4 linked regions of the Mus musculus genome follow. The protein of the gene in region 1 purifies or fractionates together with the protein of each later gene. This does not show direct contact. Links are inferred from orthologs where the notes say so. Each region holds a gene or a part of one and is shown in the gene's direction. Other genes may lie near its edges. The genes, in order: Mta1, Bcl11a, Hic1 and Dnmt1.

What was found.
Region 2: the proteins of Mta1 (region 1) and Bcl11a purify together in Homo sapiens (affinity purification with mass spectrometry; 4 studies listed by BioGRID and IntAct, counting the BioPlex papers as one, with this or other methods). This does not show direct contact. The link is inferred for Mus musculus from reciprocal best matches to the Homo sapiens genes MTA1 and BCL11A.
Region 3: the proteins of Mta1 (region 1) and Hic1 purify together in Homo sapiens (affinity purification with western blotting; 3 studies listed by BioGRID). This does not show direct contact. The link is inferred for Mus musculus from reciprocal best matches to the Homo sapiens genes MTA1 and HIC1.
Region 4: the proteins of Mta1 (region 1) and Dnmt1 purify together in Homo sapiens (affinity purification with western blotting; 4 studies listed by BioGRID and IntAct, with this or other methods). This does not show direct contact. The link is inferred for Mus musculus from reciprocal best matches to the Homo sapiens genes MTA1 and DNMT1.

What each region holds. Positions count from the first base shown.
Region 1 is NC_000078.6:113,121,581-113,126,504, forward strand, and holds part of Mta1 (metastasis-associated protein MTA1), read left to right. Parts: intron 1-1,536; coding exon 1,537-1,654; intron 1,655-4,924. UniProt on the Homo sapiens protein: Transcriptional coregulator which can act as both a transcriptional corepressor and coactivator. Acts as a component of the histone deacetylase NuRD complex which participates in the remodeling of chromatin.
Region 2 is NC_000077.6:24,084,556-24,088,055, forward strand, and holds part of Bcl11a (B-cell lymphoma/leukemia 11A), read left to right. Parts: intron 1-765; coding exon 766-1,095; intron 1,096-3,500. UniProt on the Homo sapiens protein: Transcription factor. Associated with the BAF SWI/SNF chromatin remodeling complex. Binds to the 5'-TGACCA-3' sequence motif in regulatory regions of target genes, including a distal promoter of the HBG1 hemoglobin subunit gamma-1 gene.
Region 3 is NC_000077.6:75,166,835-75,172,402, reverse strand, and holds the start of Hic1 (hypermethylated in cancer 1 protein), read left to right. Parts: upstream 1-2,147; 5' UTR 2,148-2,883; coding exon 2,884-3,400; intron 3,401-3,756; exon of another isoform or gene 3,757-3,780; intron 3,781-4,250; exon of another isoform or gene 4,251-4,472; coding exon of another isoform or gene 4,473-4,509; intron 4,510-4,858; coding exon 4,859-5,568. UniProt on the Homo sapiens protein: Transcriptional repressor. Recognizes and binds to the consensus sequence '5-[CG]NG[CG]GGGCA[CA]CC-3'. May act as a tumor suppressor. Involved in development of head, face, limbs and ventral body wall.
Region 4 is NC_000075.6:20,910,610-20,915,533, reverse strand, and holds part of Dnmt1 (DNA (cytosine-5)-methyltransferase 1), read left to right. Parts: intron 1-1,369; exon of another isoform or gene 1,370-1,444; coding exon 1,445-1,637; intron 1,638-2,877; coding exon 2,878-2,962; intron 2,963-3,225; coding exon 3,226-3,354; intron 3,355-3,518; coding exon 3,519-3,801; intron 3,802-3,975; coding exon 3,976-4,117; intron 4,118-4,924. UniProt on the Homo sapiens protein: Methylates CpG residues. Preferentially methylates hemimethylated DNA. Associates with DNA replication sites in S phase maintaining the methylation pattern in the newly synthesized strand, that is essential for epigenetic inheritance.

The sequences.
Region 1 (4,924 bases):
GGCGTGTCAGTCTCCTGGAGGATGTGGCAGTTGAAAGGGATGCTAAGCCAAGTAAGAAGCATGCATGCACTGTCTGTCTGTCTCTCTCACACACATACACACACACACACACACACACACACACACACACACACACACACACACACACACACACACACTAGCTCGGGTGGCCTAGACAGGCCTCACTCACTGCGTGGCCAGGATGGAGGAATCCGTCCTACGCTCAGCTTACACCCCTTACACAGGGATCTTGTCCAAATGCAGAGCTCACTGAGAAGCCCGCGTTCTCAGCTGTAGCCCTACTCCGGCCATGCAGAGCCCAGAAAGAGTTGGGTGTGGTGGTTCAGCTTTTGCTGCGTGAGCCCCTTCAGGGCTGGGAATCTGAGCCGCCATGAGATGTGCACCTCAGCACTCCAGGCAGGGACTCACTGAGAGAGAAGGCCATCCACGTCTCAGACAGTAGCCAAGAGAAGGGAGGCCTAGCATGACCATGCCACCCAGACTCTCCTCCGCAGTGACAGGCCTGAGTCAGCACCACTGTCCACTGAGTGGACCGGACCCCTGGAAAGGCAGCAGTCGTTGACTAACACCTCCATGCAGTGGCCAAGAGGAGTTAGTGGTTTTCAGAGTGGTAGCAGGAAGAATGGAAGCTGGAAAAGGGGGAGTTGTAAGTCGTGGGGTGGAATGTGAAGGTGAGGGGCCAGCTGCCAAGGAGCTGTGGATGAGCTGGGCAATAGACCCAGGAACAGGGAGCACTGAGGGCCCAGGTGGTGACGGGAGGGAGGAGGGTGACCTTGGGCCCAGGAGACCACTACTCAGAACTAACACCATGCTGATTGTATGGAGTGAGGCTGGGCTTAAAGCCTGACACAGGAAAGATTAAGAAAGGCTGTGTTGTGTGAGTGTCAGCCTGCTGGCCAGGCACAGAGCATCAGAGTCAGCCATGAGGATGCAGCCTGGTATGGTCTGTAGCGCTGTGCTTGGTGCCTCTTCATGTGCTTGCCTGCCTTCAGCATGGAGAATTTATTCCTAGATACCATGTTTTTTTTTTTTTTTTTGCGCTCATAAGTTGATTTCCCTGCTCCCCTCCCCCCATCCCCCAGGGGTAGTGGTGATGTTTGAGACAGGTTCTCATGTAGCCCTGGCTGTCTTGGAGCGCACTATGTAGACCAGGCTGGCCTCACTCACAGAACTCTGCTTGTTTCTGATTCTCAACTGCTGGGGTTAAGGGAGTGTGCCACTGTGCCTGGCCTTCATTAGCTGAGTTTCAAAAGGTTGCAGTGACAGAAAGACAGTGGCTTTTGTGAGGGGGCTGTACACAGCAGCCTTGAGAGCCCCTCACCAGGCAAGTACCCTCTAGCAGTTTGATGAGGACTCACCTAGTCCTTACTTCACTTCTGTTGCTGCAGGGCTTCTGCCCTGGGTCCTGGACAGGCAGGACCACATCCCTCACCCTCAGAACTGGACTGGCTTGTTGGATGCAGCTAGAAGAGAACACTTGTCTGACACCTCTGTCTTGTATGTGGTATTTTTCAGGATTTCTTCTTCTACTCTCTAGTCTACGACCCACAGCAGAAGACCCTCCTGGCTGATAAAGGGGAAATTCGTGTAGGAAACCGGTACCAGGCTGACATCACTGACTTGCTGAAAGAAGGTGAGGTTCAGGCTGGGCCAGCAGCATGGAGGAGGCTGGAGGTAGTACTTGTAGCTTTTACCTAGGCTTCAGCTCCTCCAAGCCTCCGTCCTAGTGGACATTGGCATCCAGCCGCAAGGCTCAAACCCTAGAGCCGCCTGTTGAGCCCTGTGGCTCCTTGACCTCGGATTTCCCTTTGGTAGCTCATTATGAGTTTGATTTTATACTGTTTCTGCTAGGAAAGTATTCTGCCACGTGCCACATTCCCACCCTTGTTCCTTACTTATTTTATTCTTTTGCCTGCATGTATGTCAGGGCACCACTTGTGTGCAGTGTCTATGGAAGTCAGAAGGCATTAGGGTTAGAGAAGGTTGTGAGCCTCCCTGTGGGGGCTAGGAGGTGAGTGAGCCCAGGTTTCCTGGGAAAGCAGTCAGTGCTGTTAACCACTGAGCCATTTCCCCAGCTCCATCCCATGTTTTTTGAGACAGGGTCTCATTTATTTATATAGCCCAAACTGACCTTGAACTTGCCTTCCTCTTTGGCAAACCATCACACCTGGCTCATTATAATTCTACATTCATGGTGTGTGTGTGTGTGTGTGTGTGTGTGTGTAGAGTCTGGTTTTTCATTCCCCAATGTGAGACTCAGGAATCCAATTTGTCCTTCAAGTCCTTAGTGTACTTTGGAGGTCAGAGGACAATTTGTAGAGTTGGTTCTGTCCTCTCACGTGGTTCTGGAGGCTGAACTCAGGTTGTCAGGCTTAGCAGCAAGCACCTTAGCGTACTGAGTCATCTCACCAGCCCCTCCCCATTCGGGGGGTTAAAATGTCTGTCTGTCTGTCTGTCTTCCTTCCTTCCTTTCTTCCTTCCTTCCTTCCTTCCTTCCTTCCTTCCTTCCTTCCTTCCTTCCTTCCTTTCATTCATTCATTCATTCATTCATTCATTCATTCATTCATTCATTCATTCATGTAGGGGTTTAGTCAGGAATGCCCTACAAGAATTGAGTCTATCCTAGGTGGCAGCAGAGATCAAACTCAGGTTGTCAGGCCTGGTGGGAAGTGCGAGCAGATTGACATGAGCTGGCTCAGACCTGGCATCCAAGGCGTGCAGGTCCCTTCCACATCTCGCCTCAGCATCCCTGGCAAAATGCTCTGATGGGCTCCAGATGCTCTGTCTCCTAAGGAAGCACTCAGCCTCTGACCCAGTCAGGCTCCGCATTTCTGGAACTGTTGGCTTAGCTGGGACTGGGGGCTCAGAGAGCACCACTTCCGTGCACCAAGTCTCTGAGGCAATTGCTGTTTGGTTGTTTTGGGGGCCTCAGCTACAGCTTGTCATATGCTAGGACAGTGTGCTGCCTTCAGGGTGGCTGGCCCGACGTAGCACCTGTTTCCTGCGTTTTCCATGCCCTTCCCTTTGCCTTGTGGTTTCTGTTTGATTTTCTGGTGTTTGTTGGACCTCAGAATGAGGTGCTAAGCCCACTTGGGTGGCAGCTGGGTGTGGCCTGGCTGTTGGAGTAGGTGCGTCCCTCTGAGCTGTGTATGGGAGGCTGGTCTTTTCTGACTTCTGTTCCGTGCTTGAGCCTCGTTACCCTGTCTCTAACACCTGGGCCTCCAGATGCCCATGCACAACCTCATAGCCAGAGCCAGCCAGTTGCTGCCTGTTCAGCTTATTCCCCAAATAGCCCCAGCCTTAAAGCTCTGTAGACAGGCCTGAACTCTGTCCAGCCTCCTAACTCTGAAGCCACGGTATCCGCTTTCTCAGCCTGACTGAAGGGAAGTGTCAGAGGGAAGTGTCAGAGGCCAGCCGAGGCTGTCACAGTCACATGAACTTACACAGGGACCAGAGAGGTGGGAGAGGTCTCAAAGGTCAGAGGACCTTGCTTTCAGCCTCTGTTTCTCAGAATCAAGCTGCTCCAGGTGTCCCAGGCATGTGTGGGCTCATTGGCTAGTGCTAGGAGAACCCCCAAGAAAGCTATGCTTTGTCTGTGGGGCCTGCCTGTGAAAAAAAGCAGGACCTCAGGGGAGTCTCCAGCTACCACAGTGTCCTCCTCCTTCCTAGTCTCTGCAGCCTTTCGACACAAAGGTCAGCGGCTTCCCCATGGTATCTGTCTTCAAATTAAGCTTTTAGCCGGGCGTGGTGGCACATGCCTTCAATCCCAGCACTTGGGAGGCAGAGGCAGGCGGAGTTCTGAGTTCAAGGACAGCCTGGTCTACAGAGAGAGTTCCAGGACAGCCAGGGCTACACAGAGAAACCCTGTGTAATTTAAAAAATTAAACTTTTAGAATATGTGTGTGTGTGTGTGTGTGTGTGTGTGTGTGTGTGTGTGTGTGTGTGTGTACACACCTCCTGTCTGGACAAGACCAGAAGTGTTGCATCTCTTAGAGCTGGAGATACTAATGTTTGTGAGCTCTGGTAGACAGGAGTACTGGAAATTGGAACTTAAGACCTTTGGAAGAGCAATGTATGCTCTTGACGGCTGAGCCATGTCTCCGCCCCAGTGTGTGCATTTTGAATGATGACATGGAATGCTTGCCTTCATTCACTGTATTGGAAATTTCAAAGTGAGTGATTCTGGTTGAGTTCCACAGGCATTCTTTGCTCTCTGTTCCAGGCAGTTACAGATCATTTGCTATGAACAGCACCTTGGTTTTGGGGACCTTAGAATGTCAAGGGTTGTACCCTGTGACACCCCCCACCCCCCGATTAAGCACAGTTCACATCAAGACTGAAACCCACTCACAACATTGGGGGAAAGGCCACTGTCCTGGGCCTGCATAGGCTGGAGTTTGTAGCCTCCAGCTGTAGCCTGTGAGCATCGGAGAACCTGATAGTTCCATTCCTCCCATGGCTCCTGCCGGGTCTTCTGCAGGGGTGGGACCCTCATCCTCTGTGACTAGCTGGTCATAAGAGCTCCCTTGCCTTGCTCTGCTCTGTCCTGGATTTAGGACCCATAGACAGTAACTCTCCAAAGGGTCAGGAATATCTTCTTGGCGACAGACATCCAGTCCTTCTGTTACTCAGTGTCCTGACTAGGAACCCCGTATTCTTCGGGAACTCAAGTGTAGGCTGTTCATGGCCACATGGTGCGTTGATGCCAAGGGCCAAAGGGGAGTTGATGGGATCTGATGCAAACTGGAAGCTTGATACCTTCACTCAATTATGAATGTAGCCCTTGGCTGGAGACTCAGACAATGGACGACTATGGGATATCTCCTGGGGCCTTTCCCTAGAGTCAGGCCTGGCCTGGCTCGTGACAAAATTCTCCTTGGAACTCTTGGTCCTGCTGTATGTC
Region 2 (3,500 bases), on another chromosome or scaffold:
CTTTTCTTCAGGATGAAAAAAAAAAACATGACTAATTGGCTTATTTTCTTAAGTACTCAGAAGTATCCCATTTAGGGAACATGTTTGGGAAGACCTGCCAGTGAATGTGATGTTCCTTGAATTTCATAGCTGAGGAGGGCAGGGAGATGTTAGCACTGTGACGCTCACCTCATTGTGATGGGTAGACTGCGGTGCAAATGTGGCAGTCCTGTGTGGCTGCAGCAGCCTTCTGTGTGGAAGCCATGTGTGTACAGTACAGAGATTCACACACAAAGGCTGCCTGTGCTCATTCGCCTTTTTTCTCTAATCTTGGGCACAATAGACAACCTACTGTATGGGGCTGGGGGGAGGGGAGCAAAATTGGTTTGAGTTCATGTTTTTCCCGTAGTTATTATTTAAGCAGCCTATATATATATATATATATATATATATATATATATATATATATTTGTGTATGTTAACTGTTAAATCACATTCTTTCTAAAGAAAGAATTTCTAGTGTGTGTGTGTTCTCTGGAGTTCTCCAAGTCGGAGGGATTTCCTTTACTACATGATGGCCAACCTCACTGATAGATTTAATTATTTAATTATTGATACCCTCCAGAGCATTTGTTGCCTGTGTCCACATTTCCTGGGTATTATGTAGAGACTGCTCCAAATACTTGTTCTAGTCTGGAAAGGCAGGGGTGAGATTGAGAATGTCTGTTCCCCTTTTCTCTCCCCACTGGTTCCCTAATAATTGTGCTTTTGTTTCTTCAACCACAGCCGAACCTCTTGAAGCCATTCTTACAGATGATGAACCAGACCATGGCCCGTTGGGAGCTCCAGAAGGGGACCACGACCTTCTCACCTGTGGGCAGTGCCAGATGAATTTCCCACTGGGGGACATTCTTATTTTTATCGAGCACAAACGGAAACAATGCAATGGCAGCCTCTGCTTAGAAAAAGGTGTGGATAAGCCGCCTTCCCCTTCTCCCATCGAGATGAAAAAGGCATCCAATCCTGTGGAGGTTGGCATCCAGGTCACGCCAGAGGATGACGATTGTTTATCAACGTCATCTAGAGGAATTTGCCCCAAACAGGAACACATAGCAGGTAAATGAGAAGCGAAGGAGAGAAACTGTTTGCATGTTTTCTGTTTGTTTGCAGGGGCATTGTAGTCAAGCAGGAAGGAGGTGAAGTCTGTCTGTATTTCTCCCTGTGACTGTCTATGGCAGCCTTATAATGTTAAGTAATCATTCACCTTGCTTCCGTCCAGAACTCTGAAAATAAATCGTTTCCTACTTTACTGAGTCAGATGCAGGTGGGAAAGGTACACACACCCTTGACATCCTCGCCTGGCTCTGACGATGCCAACACTCTTCCCCTTGCTTGCCTCCTATTTTAAAGTGTTGAACCTTACCACACCACACCTAGCTCAGTTTCCAGTGTCCACTTATGGTCTTGGGGATGTATCAGAGGCAAGGTAACCACACAGGCATCTGTAGTTGAGCCAATAACTAGCCTGGAGGGCTAGAAAGAGTTAACTGAGCTCCAGGGCTAGCCTTGGATCCATATTGGCTGTCAGCCTGTATGGGGCTGTAATTAAACACAGCCCCGTGGTGGGATGACACAGTGACCTTGACTTTAAGATGCCATTTTCGACTGGCCAGGCCAGAGTAGAGAGGGCAGTTGCTGAAGCGCACAGACATGCTTACTCGAAAAGTTTAAGGGCATGTTGGAAATTTCAAAAGGTTGGTTTGACAGGAACGGCTGCTCCCTGCAGCCTGCCTCCTCAGCTCAGTGATAAATGCTCCCCTGCGCTCTCTCTTGTTTCTGATGTGGTTTTGACAGATGTATCTTGATTTTGTTTGTGGTTTACACAGCCACATGTCACCCTTACAAATGTCCAGTCCAGTCTCCACAGTTTCTTCCCTAGCCTAATGTAAAAAATTTCTTGGAGAAAAAAAAATGCATGCACATATTTAACAGCTTTCTCTCTCGGTTAATTTTACCAAGGAGGTAGCTAGGTGTGTGGGTTTCTCAGCAGCTCCAGGGAAAAGGAATTAGAAGCTAACAGAGGGAATTTAATTCCCTGCCCTAGTGATAAACAGCAACTCTAGGTAGTGGTTCTTAAAACACTGTTTGCTTTAGCATGTAGTCAGAGCAAAGCAGCTTCTGTGCTGACAGGGCTCCCACATCTGGGAGACAGCTCCTTCTCTGCATTGCCCCACCCTCCAAACGCAGGTGTGTGCATTTTTGGCAAGGTAGATAGATAGTCAGTCACAAGACTTACTGGAACTTGTCTCTGATACAGGTGGACCATGGAGTTGAACTGGGGGCGAGGGGGCGGCAGGGAAGGGGGGGGGGGATTAAATGTCACATTGCTCCTCCCCCAAATCTGGAATTTGATCGTTAAGATCAAGTGTGGCATTTCCTATCTTCTTTTTTCTTTTCTGCTTTCTGCAACAATACTCAACTATTTTCCTTTCGTGAAGTGAGGATTCTGCTTGCCAGGAACGCTGCGTGTGCTGAGTATTTTTCTAGAAGCCACCACATTTAGCTTCTGAGACATGGAGGTTAAGATTTTTATCTCCCCCACCTCCCTGTAGGATATGGCAATGACCATTTCCATGTGCTGCCTTGTGACTGGAAGGAGAAGGAACACAAGTGTAAGGCATGATTAATGAAGCAAGAGCAGGCAAGAGCAGGCGGAAGGGGATTTGTCATCTTTGGAGATCCAAAGCCTTGCTAAATCACCAAATATGGAGTAAGGCTTGTGTGATGTAACATCATATTTACATATCGAGCTGCTCGTTTAAAAGACAAAACACAGTGTCTGTCAGGCAAGAATTAAAACCACACTTACTCCGGAAGGCCTAAATAGCTTTTCAGTTTCAGGTTAGCCAGTTTGAAAATCAGGGCCTCTGTATATAGAAGAGGAATCTGAAGACTGAGGGAAGCCTTCAGATAAATAGTTAGGGCTTTTTACTTGTGTAGTTGGGACTCTCCATGGATGTGCAGGGAAGGAAATAGCCCTTAACTGGTTGTCATAATGATTCCATGGTATTTCAAAACTATTATGGTATGGTAGCAGAATCTAGAGAGGAAAGAGAGAGGGTGCACATTTGAAATCTGTTTTGCAGGGCTAACGGCGCATTGTTTCCCTGAAATGGAAAGCCACCTAAGGTGTCTCACATACTCACAGGCTACACATGCGATCCAGAGGTGTCTCACATACTCACTCACAGTGCACACATGCAATCCAGGAGAGGTAAACCTTTCATGCACAGGTCATTGCAAGACCTCGGCTCCTTCATGCTGTTTAATCACCTGCTCTTACCCTAGTATTGGCTGAACATAAACATCATAGTCACATCTCAAAGTGAGATAGATCATGACTAGAATCATGACTTCTCATAATTCACAGTAATGAATTAAGGCATTCGTATAGTGAAATTAACATTCTACTATTGCACATAAATTATGATGCTCTGGACCTCAGCTGCCCCTGAAGCAAA
Region 3 (5,568 bases), on another chromosome or scaffold:
GGGGGCGTAGGGGAGGGCGGGACGAAGCGACAGGGAGTTGGAGCGGGAGGAGGGTGCGCACGCGGAAGCAGGGTTGGGTAGGGGAGTACGTAACCCCAGGCTTGGCCTCCAAGGGGTTAACTTTCCGGAACTGCAGGCGACGGGCTGGGGGAGAATAGTGCAGGGAGGGTGAGGCCCCGTTCTGTGTTTATTCACTCTCCCCTTCCGGGGCTTTGCGAGTCCTAGGATCTCAGTTCTTTTCTCCTGGACCGCAGGGGTCCTCCCTTGGCAGCCCCAAACCACACTGCTCATTCCCTAGACCCTACAGTCCTCTGACGCCAGAAGATGCCCCGCGATGGTATCACTCCCATTTGGCCACCGTGGTATCCTCGCTCTCTCCTGGTGTGTGTGTGGGGGGGGGGTGGGGGGTGAGGCAAGAAACTGGACCGGTTTAGGAGGGGAGTAGAGTGCACCTCGGACTTTGACATCTAGGAGCTGGGGAAAGAGGGGTGGAGAAGCCTGGGAGTTTTGGAAGGCTTCTTGACTGGGTCACAGGAGGAAAGGTACCGGTCAGATGGTGGAAACCGCAGAGAAGATCAGGGAGTCTAAGGAGAGTGGTCTGGACTTTAGAAATGAGCAGAAGATCTTCTGTAAGAGTTTGGAAAATCCCTGTACGGAGTATCCACAAAAGGAAGGGCTAGCCTGACAAGTACTGGAGAGCCAACTTGGCAGTGCCCCAGGGGGCACGAGGGGGCCACCTCAGTGGGGTGGAATAGGCATAGGCAGAGCCTGTAAGAGAGAAAATGAGACTAAGGGGGCTCAATAGCTTGGCAGAGGGTGTGTGTAGCTGGGACTCCTTTCTAAAGGAGTCAGAATAGACTAAAGGCAAATACGATATGGAACAGGTCCTCCAAAACAGCCCGATTCTGTCTCCGGGCTCTAAATGGGGTCGTCATGCGTTCACGGAGAGGAGGAAGCTGCACCAGGATGACCAGAGGAGCTCAGGAAGAAGGGGAAAGCAAAGTTAAGAGGAGGGGCATGGTGGTGCGCATCCTTGTACGTGGGAAGTAGACGCCTTTGTGAGTTCGAGGCTAGCCGTAGACTTGAAACTGTGGTGGTGGTGGTGGTGGGGCGTGGAGGAGAGGAGAGGAGAGAAGGGGAGGGGAGGGGAGGGGAGTACACAGTGAAACTTGGGCAAGGTTTATGTGGTTGGCCCCATAGCGATACAACAAGGGCTTGAGTCGGTGGAGAGGGATAGAACAAGAAGGAACTGAAGACCCAGCCGACCTCCTTATGGGTCAACCAGCGGATAAACTCCATTGTGTAAAACACATACAGAGCTTTCTCTCCAGACTCGCACGATCTAACCCCATTAAAAGGAGAAAACATTTAAAACAGAGACATCAGAGACACCCTTGCTTGTGGGAGAACTCAGAGTTGTCAAAACTCATCCCTAAGAGCACTTCTGGGGAGCCTTCTTATCCTCAAACGCTCCGTTACACTTCCGCTTCAGCCCCAAGGCGTATCCCTCGACAGAGATACCAAGGTACCTCTTCACTTCTCCTAGAGCTCAGAAATTGTGGAGTCCACCGTGGGACTGCAGTGTTTGTCTTGTATGGACACTGTACGGAGATACGAAGTAGTAAGTGGATTAGATGGAGGCGGAGCACACTGTCGCGGAAACCTGGTGAGCCTTGAAGACTCTTTGGACCAGAAGCCTAGGCCAGGCATAGAAGTCTCCTGCCAAAGAAACGCAGCCTCTAGGAGGCGCCCAAGACCTTGGTGTCTCACTGGTACAGCTAGAGGCCCGGCCGGCTGCCCCGGGCGAGTGACTCAGCCACTACCTCAAGCGGGGGAGTGGGGGCTCGAAGACAGCGTGGGGTGCGGCGAGCGTAGCCCCCACCCGCCCTGCGCCCCGCGCGGTTGCTAAGCTCTCCAAGGCCTCTGAGAGATGAGATCCCGGGAACCTCATTGGTTACCATAGTAACTCTGAGCCCCAGCCTCTCCGGCTTGGCCACGGAGGATGGCGCAGCCAATAAGAAGCTGTGGGCGGTTTGGGGGGACCCCCCCTATAGCGTGGGCGGGGGTCAGGAGGTGCGGGGAAGAGGCGGAGCGTGGGCCACGGAGGCGCGGTGCTTGCAACGGTGCTTATGCCTCCGCCCCGCTATGCAGGGACATTTCCGGTGAGCACCCAAGAGCTGGTGCACGCTCCCCTCCCTCCTAAAAGAGGAGTCACCAACATGAATGAGCTCTCCCTTGTGTGGCGTGTAGGATCTTTTTTTGAGGGGGTCTCAAGCCGCCCGTTCTCGTGATATCTCTCGAATGGTGTATTGGGGGGGGGCAAACTAAGATCCCTCAAAACTGCTTAGATGGGGGATTGGGGACTTGAGGGGCACGTCGCAAGGGGGCTCTGTCCAGCTATTTCCAATGGAGGGCTCTAGGGTCCTTCTGGAGACCCGCAAGTTCGGGGAGGGCTCTTTGGTAGGACCTCTACCCCGTTTCACGTAGTAGCCTCCGCAGTAGCCCAAGAAGTTGGGACTCCGGGAGGGGGTGGGCGGTCTGTGTAAACATGGCGCGCCCTTGTCACTGCTTGGACAGAGTTTGAGTGTGGACGGTTTATGATGTGCATACTGATAACATGTGTCTGAGGGAGAGTTGGAATGTGTCTCTCTCCACTGAGTCCAAGTGAATAATGGTGTTCAGAAATGTCTAATAAAAGCCGCCCCGCTCCTGCTCCGAACGTATGTACCTTCATCTCACTTAGGATTTCTAAGCTCGCCCTCTCACAGAATACTGTTCGTAGTGTTCCACCCCAACCCCTTTTCTAAGATAGGGTCTCAGGTAGTAGAGGCTGACCTTGAACTCCTGGTCCTCTTGCTTCCAACTCCTGGGTGCTATGCTAGGATGATTACAAGAATGCGCCACCATCCCTGGCTTAAGAGTTCCTCATTTGAAGACAGAACCTTCCCCTCCCCCCCCCCGAATTGGCGCGATATAACATATAAATATGTACTCGGGAGCACTCAGCACAAAACCCCCAGGTTTATGGGACTCCCAGGTCCGATATCTGAGTCTCCAGGTGGGCACATCTGGAAGCGCGCGAACCTGCAAGATCTGCTCAGCTCCGCATCTGCAAGCCTCTTGGCCCAGGTGTGCGCCAGAGGTCGCAGCCCAGCCGCACACAGTCCCCGCGTGGCCGCGAGGTGGCGCCATGGCCGCGGCAGCGTCTGCCGGTTCGGGCCGCTCCAGATAAGAGTGTGCGGAAAGCGCGGAGGGGCTGAGACGCGACCAGGACGCGGGGAGGACGGACCGGCAAGACAGACCGACCGGGGGCCCGGCGGGCGGAGGGCAGCGCACTGCAGCCACGTCCCCCCCTGGATCCGCCGGCAGCCGGGCCCGGGGCTTCCGACATGCCCCCCAGGTGGGTCCTCGAGTTGGCGACAGGGAAGGGCAAGGGACCCGGGACAATCTGGTCCTCGTGCGCCGGCTACCTCGGGAGCATCCTCAGGCGTGGGCGCCCGGGTCGCGGCTGGCGTTTGGGGCTCTAAGTGTCTTCCCTAGAGGACTCGGGACGGCTGGGCCGCTGCTCGGCGCCGGGTTCACGGCGGGGTCAGCGGCCCGGGGCCGGCTCTGCCCGCACATGGGCTGGGGAGGAGAGGGGAAGGCAAGGGGAGCCGGCGGGCGGGGCTGGCAGGGGCGCTGCCCTGGCACAGCTCGGCGCCTGGCAGCGGGGCGGGTGGGGCGCAGGCTAGGAGCTGCCACCGCCTCAGGGAGGGAAGCCGGGCTGGGCGGCCGCCGCAGGTAACGGGCCGGCGAGGCCCTGCGGGCCAGGCGGGGAACAGGGGCGGGCGTGCTCGCCGGAGGGCAGGGCGGCTTTAGATTTGGTGTGGGTCCCCACTGCCACCAGGCTGCTGAAATTGGGGGCCCAGAGGAGGAACTGGGGGCCAGGGAGGGGGGCTGGGGCCGGCGCGCTCCTCCCGCCCTGTCTGAAGTTGGGAAAGTTTTCCCCGAAGTTTGAGGCGGCAGAGTTTCGGGGGAGACGGGGCGGAGGGGAGCTGGGGAAGAGATGTGGAGCCGAGGCCCCGGCTGGGTCCAGAACGCGGGTGGGGCGCAGGCCAGGGTCAGGGCCGCAGCCGGCTGTGCGCCGTGCCCGCCCGGGGCGCTGCCCCCTCCCTCCCCTGGGAGCTGCGTGGCTCCCCCCTCCCCCCCACCTGCTTCCTGCCTCAGCCTCCTGCCCCGATATAACGCCCTCCCCGCGCCGGGGCCCGGCCTTCGCGCTCTGCCCGCCACCGCAGCCACTGTCTCCGCTCCCCGGGCCGGGCCGGCCGGCCCTAACGAAGGCCTGACAGCCCCGGGCCAGGGCGGTGCCTCGATGGGCATCTTGCTCCCGTCTTCCTTATCACTTCCCCTAACCGGGGCAACTTCTTTCGAGGCGGGAGGCGCTTCTAACTCGGCTCCTTGTCTCCCCACTTGGGCAAACTTCTCGGCCCTGAATGACTTTTCCTGAAGCGGACATTTTACTTAAATCGGGTAATTGTCTCCGAAAGGGTCATTTCGCCCTAAACAGATTTCTCCCTGGAAGTTCCCAGGACCCAGCCTGAGTGCCCAGGAGCATCTGGGGCTGGAACAGATAGGCTAACCTGGCCTACTCTCCATCCACAGCCTTTCTCCTCCTGCACCTTCTGTCTGGGGCCGGCGGGCCTAGGCTTCCACTCCCGGAGGCCGCTGATCCTCCTCGGCTACTGTTCAGGCCGTGGTGCTCCATGCCCCTGATCAGCTGAGGGGAAGGGGAAGCGGAGGGGAACCGACTGGGTTGGGTACAAGAGGCCAGGGCACCGCACTGCGTAGCTCTTACCCAGCTGGTGTGTGTCTCCCGCAGGAGAGTGTGCTGGGCAGACGATGCTGGACACGATGGAGGCGCCTGGCCATTCGAGGCAGCTACTGCTGCAGCTCAACAATCAGCGCACCAAGGGCTTCTTGTGCGACGTGATCATCGTGGTGCAGAATGCCCTCTTCCGCGCGCACAAGAACGTGCTGGCGGCCAGCAGCGCCTACCTCAAGTCCCTGGTGGTGCATGACAACCTGCTAAACCTGGACCATGACATGGTGAGCCCGGCCGTGTTCCGCCTGGTGCTGGACTTCATCTACACCGGCCGCCTGACTGACAGTGTTGAGGCCGCAGCAGCAGCAGCGGTGGCCCCGGGCGCGGAGCCGAGCCTGGGCGCTGTGCTGGCTGCTGCCAGCTACCTGCAGATCCCTGACCTCGTGGCTCTGTGCAAGAAGCGCCTCAAACGCCACGGCAAGTACTGCCACCTGCGGGGAGGAGGCAGCGGCGGCGGCGGCTACGCTCCTTACGGGCGGCCCGGCCGGGGCTTGAGGGCTGCCACGCCCGTCATCCAGGCTTGCTACTCGTCCCCGGCCGGGCCACCGCCGCCGCCTGCCGCCGAGCCGCCGTCGGGCCCCGATGCAGCCGTCAACACCCACTGCGCTGAGCTATATGCTTCAGGCCCGGGCCCAGCAGCCTCACTCTGCGCCCCGGAGCGTCGCTGCTCCCCGCTTTGCGGCCTGGATCTGTCCAAGAAGAGCCCG
Region 4 (4,924 bases), on another chromosome or scaffold:
ATTTGTCTGGGTCCTCCTTCCCAAACCACAGTCCCTTTCTCTGCTCTTGCATCGCCCTCCCTGAGCCTGCTCTGCACCTTCCTTGCTGGTTCTGGAGTTTGTTTTCCAGTCCTTGGCTTGACTCAACACTCCCCTACACACACACACACACACACACACACTCCCCTACGCACGCACGCACACGCGCGCTCACACACACACACACACACACACACACACACATCTTATACCTTTGTGCATTTGTGGGTGCTTTCTGCTTCTTTGATTGTGAATGGGTGTTAACTGGTTGACAAAGGCAGTTCGATCCCTAGGGTTTGAGGCTAGCTTGGTCTACATAGTGAGTTCAAGGATAGCCAGAGCTACAGAGAAACAAAACAGAACTGGGTTTCATTCTGGAGTTCAGGCTCCCCTAAAACATACTCTGTGGTCCACTCCTGCCTTAATACTATATTGATCCTCCTGCCTCAGCCCTCACTGTCTTTCCCTTGTAAAAATCCTGTAGCTGGAAGTGATGAGGGGCTTCTGTGAAAGAAAACTACCAGGTAGACCAGCCAGCACAGCTGGAACGTGAGACCAGCCAGCACAGCTGGAACCTGAGATCCTTGTCTGTGCATCCCAAGGGTTGGATAGCAGGCACCTGCTACTACACCTGATTTTCCTAGAGTCTTTGTAATAATGGGTGTGGTAAACAAAAGAGCAGGGCACCCAGCATTGATGGGTGGGATGAAGGCAGAGAGTACACCAGTCCCTGGTGGTGCCCAGGAATCCTATTCCTGCTGTGGTATTGGGGCCAAGTAAGGGTTGGTGGCCACCAAGCTGACTGGACTGGGATGTGGTCTTTTCTATGGTGCAGTTTGGTTGAGCATCCTCAAACCAAAATACTGAAAATTCTACAACTGATCTCTTCTTACAGGCTGCCACAGGTGTACTTAATGCTACGTAGAGACCAGAGAGATGGCTCAGTGCTTAAGATTTGATGTTTGTTTTCTAGCACCCAGATAGATGGTGGCCACGGTCATCTGTAACTCCAAATTCCACAGGACCTGCTGCCATTCTCTGCCCTCCGTGGGCATTGTACACACCTGTAGCCATACATACACGGACGGAAATTACCCATTCACACTAAATAAAAATGAATAAATAGTTTTTAAATGCTGCCTGAAGTGACCTGGGTGACGGGGATGGTAGCTGATGTCTGTGATCCTGGTAGTTGAAGTGCTGTGGCAGGAGGATCACTGAGTTGGAGGTCGGCTTGGGCAGCAGAGCAAGACACTCTCAACAAATAAAAGGCCTTGAAGCTGTGGTGTGAGGTGTACAAGACTAATAAGATTCCTGTTCTCAGACTCGGCTCTCAGTTGCTGGTCCAGGCATTTCAGAGGAGGGTGCTCGGCCGGGGATTATAAATCTGTGGTAAAGTAGTATTCCCCTGGTATCCTCCTCACAGGCCTGAGAATACCCACAGGTCCTACAACGGATCCTATCACACTGACATCAACATGCTTTACTGGAGCGACGAGGAAGCTGTGGTGAACTTCAGCGACGTGCAGGGCCGCTGTACCGTGGAGTACGGGGAAGACCTACTTGAGAGCATCCAGGATTATTCACAAGGGGGCCCTGACCGCTTCTACTTCCTCGAGGTGGAGCCAAGCTTCAGGGGCAAATGTGCAGGAGCAGGGTGCCCAAGACAGTGGCTCGGGCTGGGGCAGGGCTCAGTGAGACAGGGCCTTTGTTCAGCAGACGCTAGGCTAATCCTGGGTGTGTCTTTCGACAGGAGAAGCTAAGGAGGCAGCTAATTCATGTGTAGATCTGTTTTTTATTTTGTTTTTTTTTAGTGAATTTTTAAAAAAATTTTTATTTTCATGAGAATTAATTGGTATTTTGCCCACATGATATATGTCTGTGTGATGGCATCAGATCCTTGAAACTGGAGTTCAAGACAATTGTGAGCTACCGTGTGGGTGCTAGGAATTGATCCTGGGTCCTTAGAGAGAGCAGCTGCTACCTCATCTCCCCAGAGCTGTCTGTTTGGTCTTTTGAGATAGGGTCTCACTGTATAGCCCTAGAGTTCTGTATGCAGATTAGGTTGACCTTGAACTGACAGAAATTCTCCTGTCTCCTCCAAGTGCTGGAATTAAGACTTGTACTCACAAGTCTTAATTCCAGCACCTCCCCCACCTCCAATTGAGTCTTAGGTGTGGGATTTTGGCTTTTAAAGGAAAGAGTGCAGCTGGGGATATGGCTTGATCTGTAGAGTTCCTGCCTAGCACACATGAAGCCCTGGGCTGGGTTCCCACACGGCATAAACTGGCCGTGATGCCCAGCGAGCGGGCGGTGGAGGCGGTGTTGGGCATTGACACAGAGAGAGGTAGTGGCTAGCAGGCCAATTGTTAACATGTAAGGTGTTGGGGCTGAGCTGCACATCCTTGCTCACTGCACGTCCGTGCGCACAGGTCTGATTTCAGGTGCTCTGCAAAGTCAACACTCGCTTTTTAAGAGTAGTAATGGAGAATGCAACATTTTATTGTCTTAACAGCATTAAAATTTATCCGAGACTGTTTTTGTAGGCGTCTAATAACCATGCCTAGGGTTTTGATATGTATTGAGAGCGTCCCCCTTCTTGGAGGAGTACATTTCAGTCCCGTGTTGGTTGTATGTAGTCAGCTTCTCTGTAGCGTGGACTGGCCTCAAATTCATACTTGTGCCTCAGCACCTCTTCCAGCTGACTGTAGGTTTTGTCTGTTTCCATTGGTGAGATCAAATTCCATTGGTGGCTAATTGGCTGTGGCTGAACTCCGATTAAGAGACTGTCGGTCAGCTCTTAAACAGTGTGAGGGGATCCATGCATTTCTTCTCTACTAACGTGGCTTCTCTCTGCAGGCCTACAATTCAAAGACCAAGAACTTTGAAGACCCACCAAACCATGCCCGCAGCCCTGGGAACAAAGGGAAAGGGAAGGGGAAAGGTGTGTCCTTGTCCCATCTGTCAGTCCTCCTGAGTATGGTTCTGAGAGAGAAAGCGTGTGCCGTCTAGGCAGCACTGAAGCCCAGAAACTTCTGCCTCCACCTGCCAAATTCTGGGGTCATAGACGCCAGCGCTTGGGTGGCTGAGTCGGGAGGGTCTCCCAAAAGGCGGCTCTAGGTCACATAGCATGGCAGAGAAAGATCTCCCGAGTAGGCCTGAGGAGAGCACTCTGCTGGCTCTCCTCATTAACTGTTCCTCCTCCAGGGAAGGGGAAGGGGAAGCATCAGGTGTCAGAGCCCAAAGAGCCTGAGGCAGCCATCAAACTGCCCAAGCTCCGGACCCTGGATGTGTTTTCCGGCTGTGGAGGGTTATCGGAAGGATTCCACCAAGCAGGTAAGCAGGAGCTGGTGCTGACTCTGGCCTGGCTTTAGGGTGGCTTTCAGGCATGGCCGGCCGGCCGGCCAAGGTGGCTGTCAAGTGGTGCGATGCATGTTTGAGCAAATAGAATTGATTAAAATAGATTTAAAATGGCACTCGTCTGGCTTTGTGTCTACCAGGCATCTCGGAAACGCTGTGGGCCATCGAGATGTGGGACCCGGCAGCCCAGGCATTTCGGCTGAACAACCCCGGCACCACAGTGTTCACAGAGGACTGCAACGTGCTTCTTAAGCTGGTCATGGCTGGGGAGGTGACCAACTCTCTGGGCCAAAGGCTGCCACAGAAGGGCGATGTGGAGATGCTGTGTGGTGGGCCACCCTGCCAGGGCTTCAGTGGCATGAACCGCTTCAACTCCCGCACTTACTCCAAGTTCAAAAACTCCCTAGTGGTCTCCTTCCTCAGGTAAGCATGGACCACAGCCCTCTGCCATTTGCTGTGGAGGGGCTGACTCCCAGTCTAGATTCAGGTTTGTGGGAGCAACCCCAACGCCGCTCCCATGGGAGCTGCCCATGCCCTGTTACCGGTTGCCTGGGCATGGAGGGGTTTGCAATGACTGTGTCCCTCCTGCCCCTACAGCTACTGTGACTACTACCGGCCTCGGTTCTTCCTTCTGGAGAACGTCAGGAACTTCGTGTCCTACAGACGCTCCATGGTGCTGAAGCTCACACTGCGCTGCCTGGTCCGCATGGGCTACCAGTGCACCTTTGGTGTGCTCCAGGTGGGCACCACGCGGGCAGAGGGACAGAAATGGCCTCTCGTGGGACAGTCCCTGGCCTGCTGTGGACAACAGAGGGCAACAGAGGTCTGCATGACCACCACTGAGGCTCAGCTCAGACAGAAAAAGCATAGGGCTAGCCAGGAACCTTTAATCCCAGCACTAGGGAGGCAGGTAGGCAAGTCTGAGTTTGAGGCTTGTCTGGTCTACAGAGAGTTCTAGGACAACCAGAGCTACACGGAGAAAGCCTGTCTTGAAAAAGACAGTAAAGAGCATGGGGTGACGAGGTGCGGTGGCACAGGCCTGTCTTTTCAAGTCCTGGAAGGCTGGAGTAGGATCCATGGATTGAAGGCCAGCATCTCAGGATTCAGAGTTGGCCATAGCTCAGTGTGATACATCCACTAGCAGCACATTTCCTTGGTCCTGTCCCTGGCACCCAAAGTTAATCGGGTAGCTGGGACCAAGTTGGTAGAGCACTTGTTTAATCTTCAGGAAGCCTGGGTTCCATTCTTACCACCACACAGACGTGGTTGCACACGCTAATCATCCCAACAAATAAAAAGGGGGGGTGTAGGTAGCATCAGCACTTGATTTGCCTACATAGCAAGTTTGTGCCTGGTCAGCAGCTATGGTCTTCCATGACTGTCGGGGAGGGAGGGCTGGGATTGCCAGCAGCGGAGTAGATGTAAGGTCAATAAAACACAGGGTGAGAAGTGGCCCAGCAGAACCGGGTTTATCCAGAGCAAACCCAGGACAGGAGCGCTCCTGTTGGTCGCCGAGGTCTTGCCATCCACTTACAGATGCAGGAGT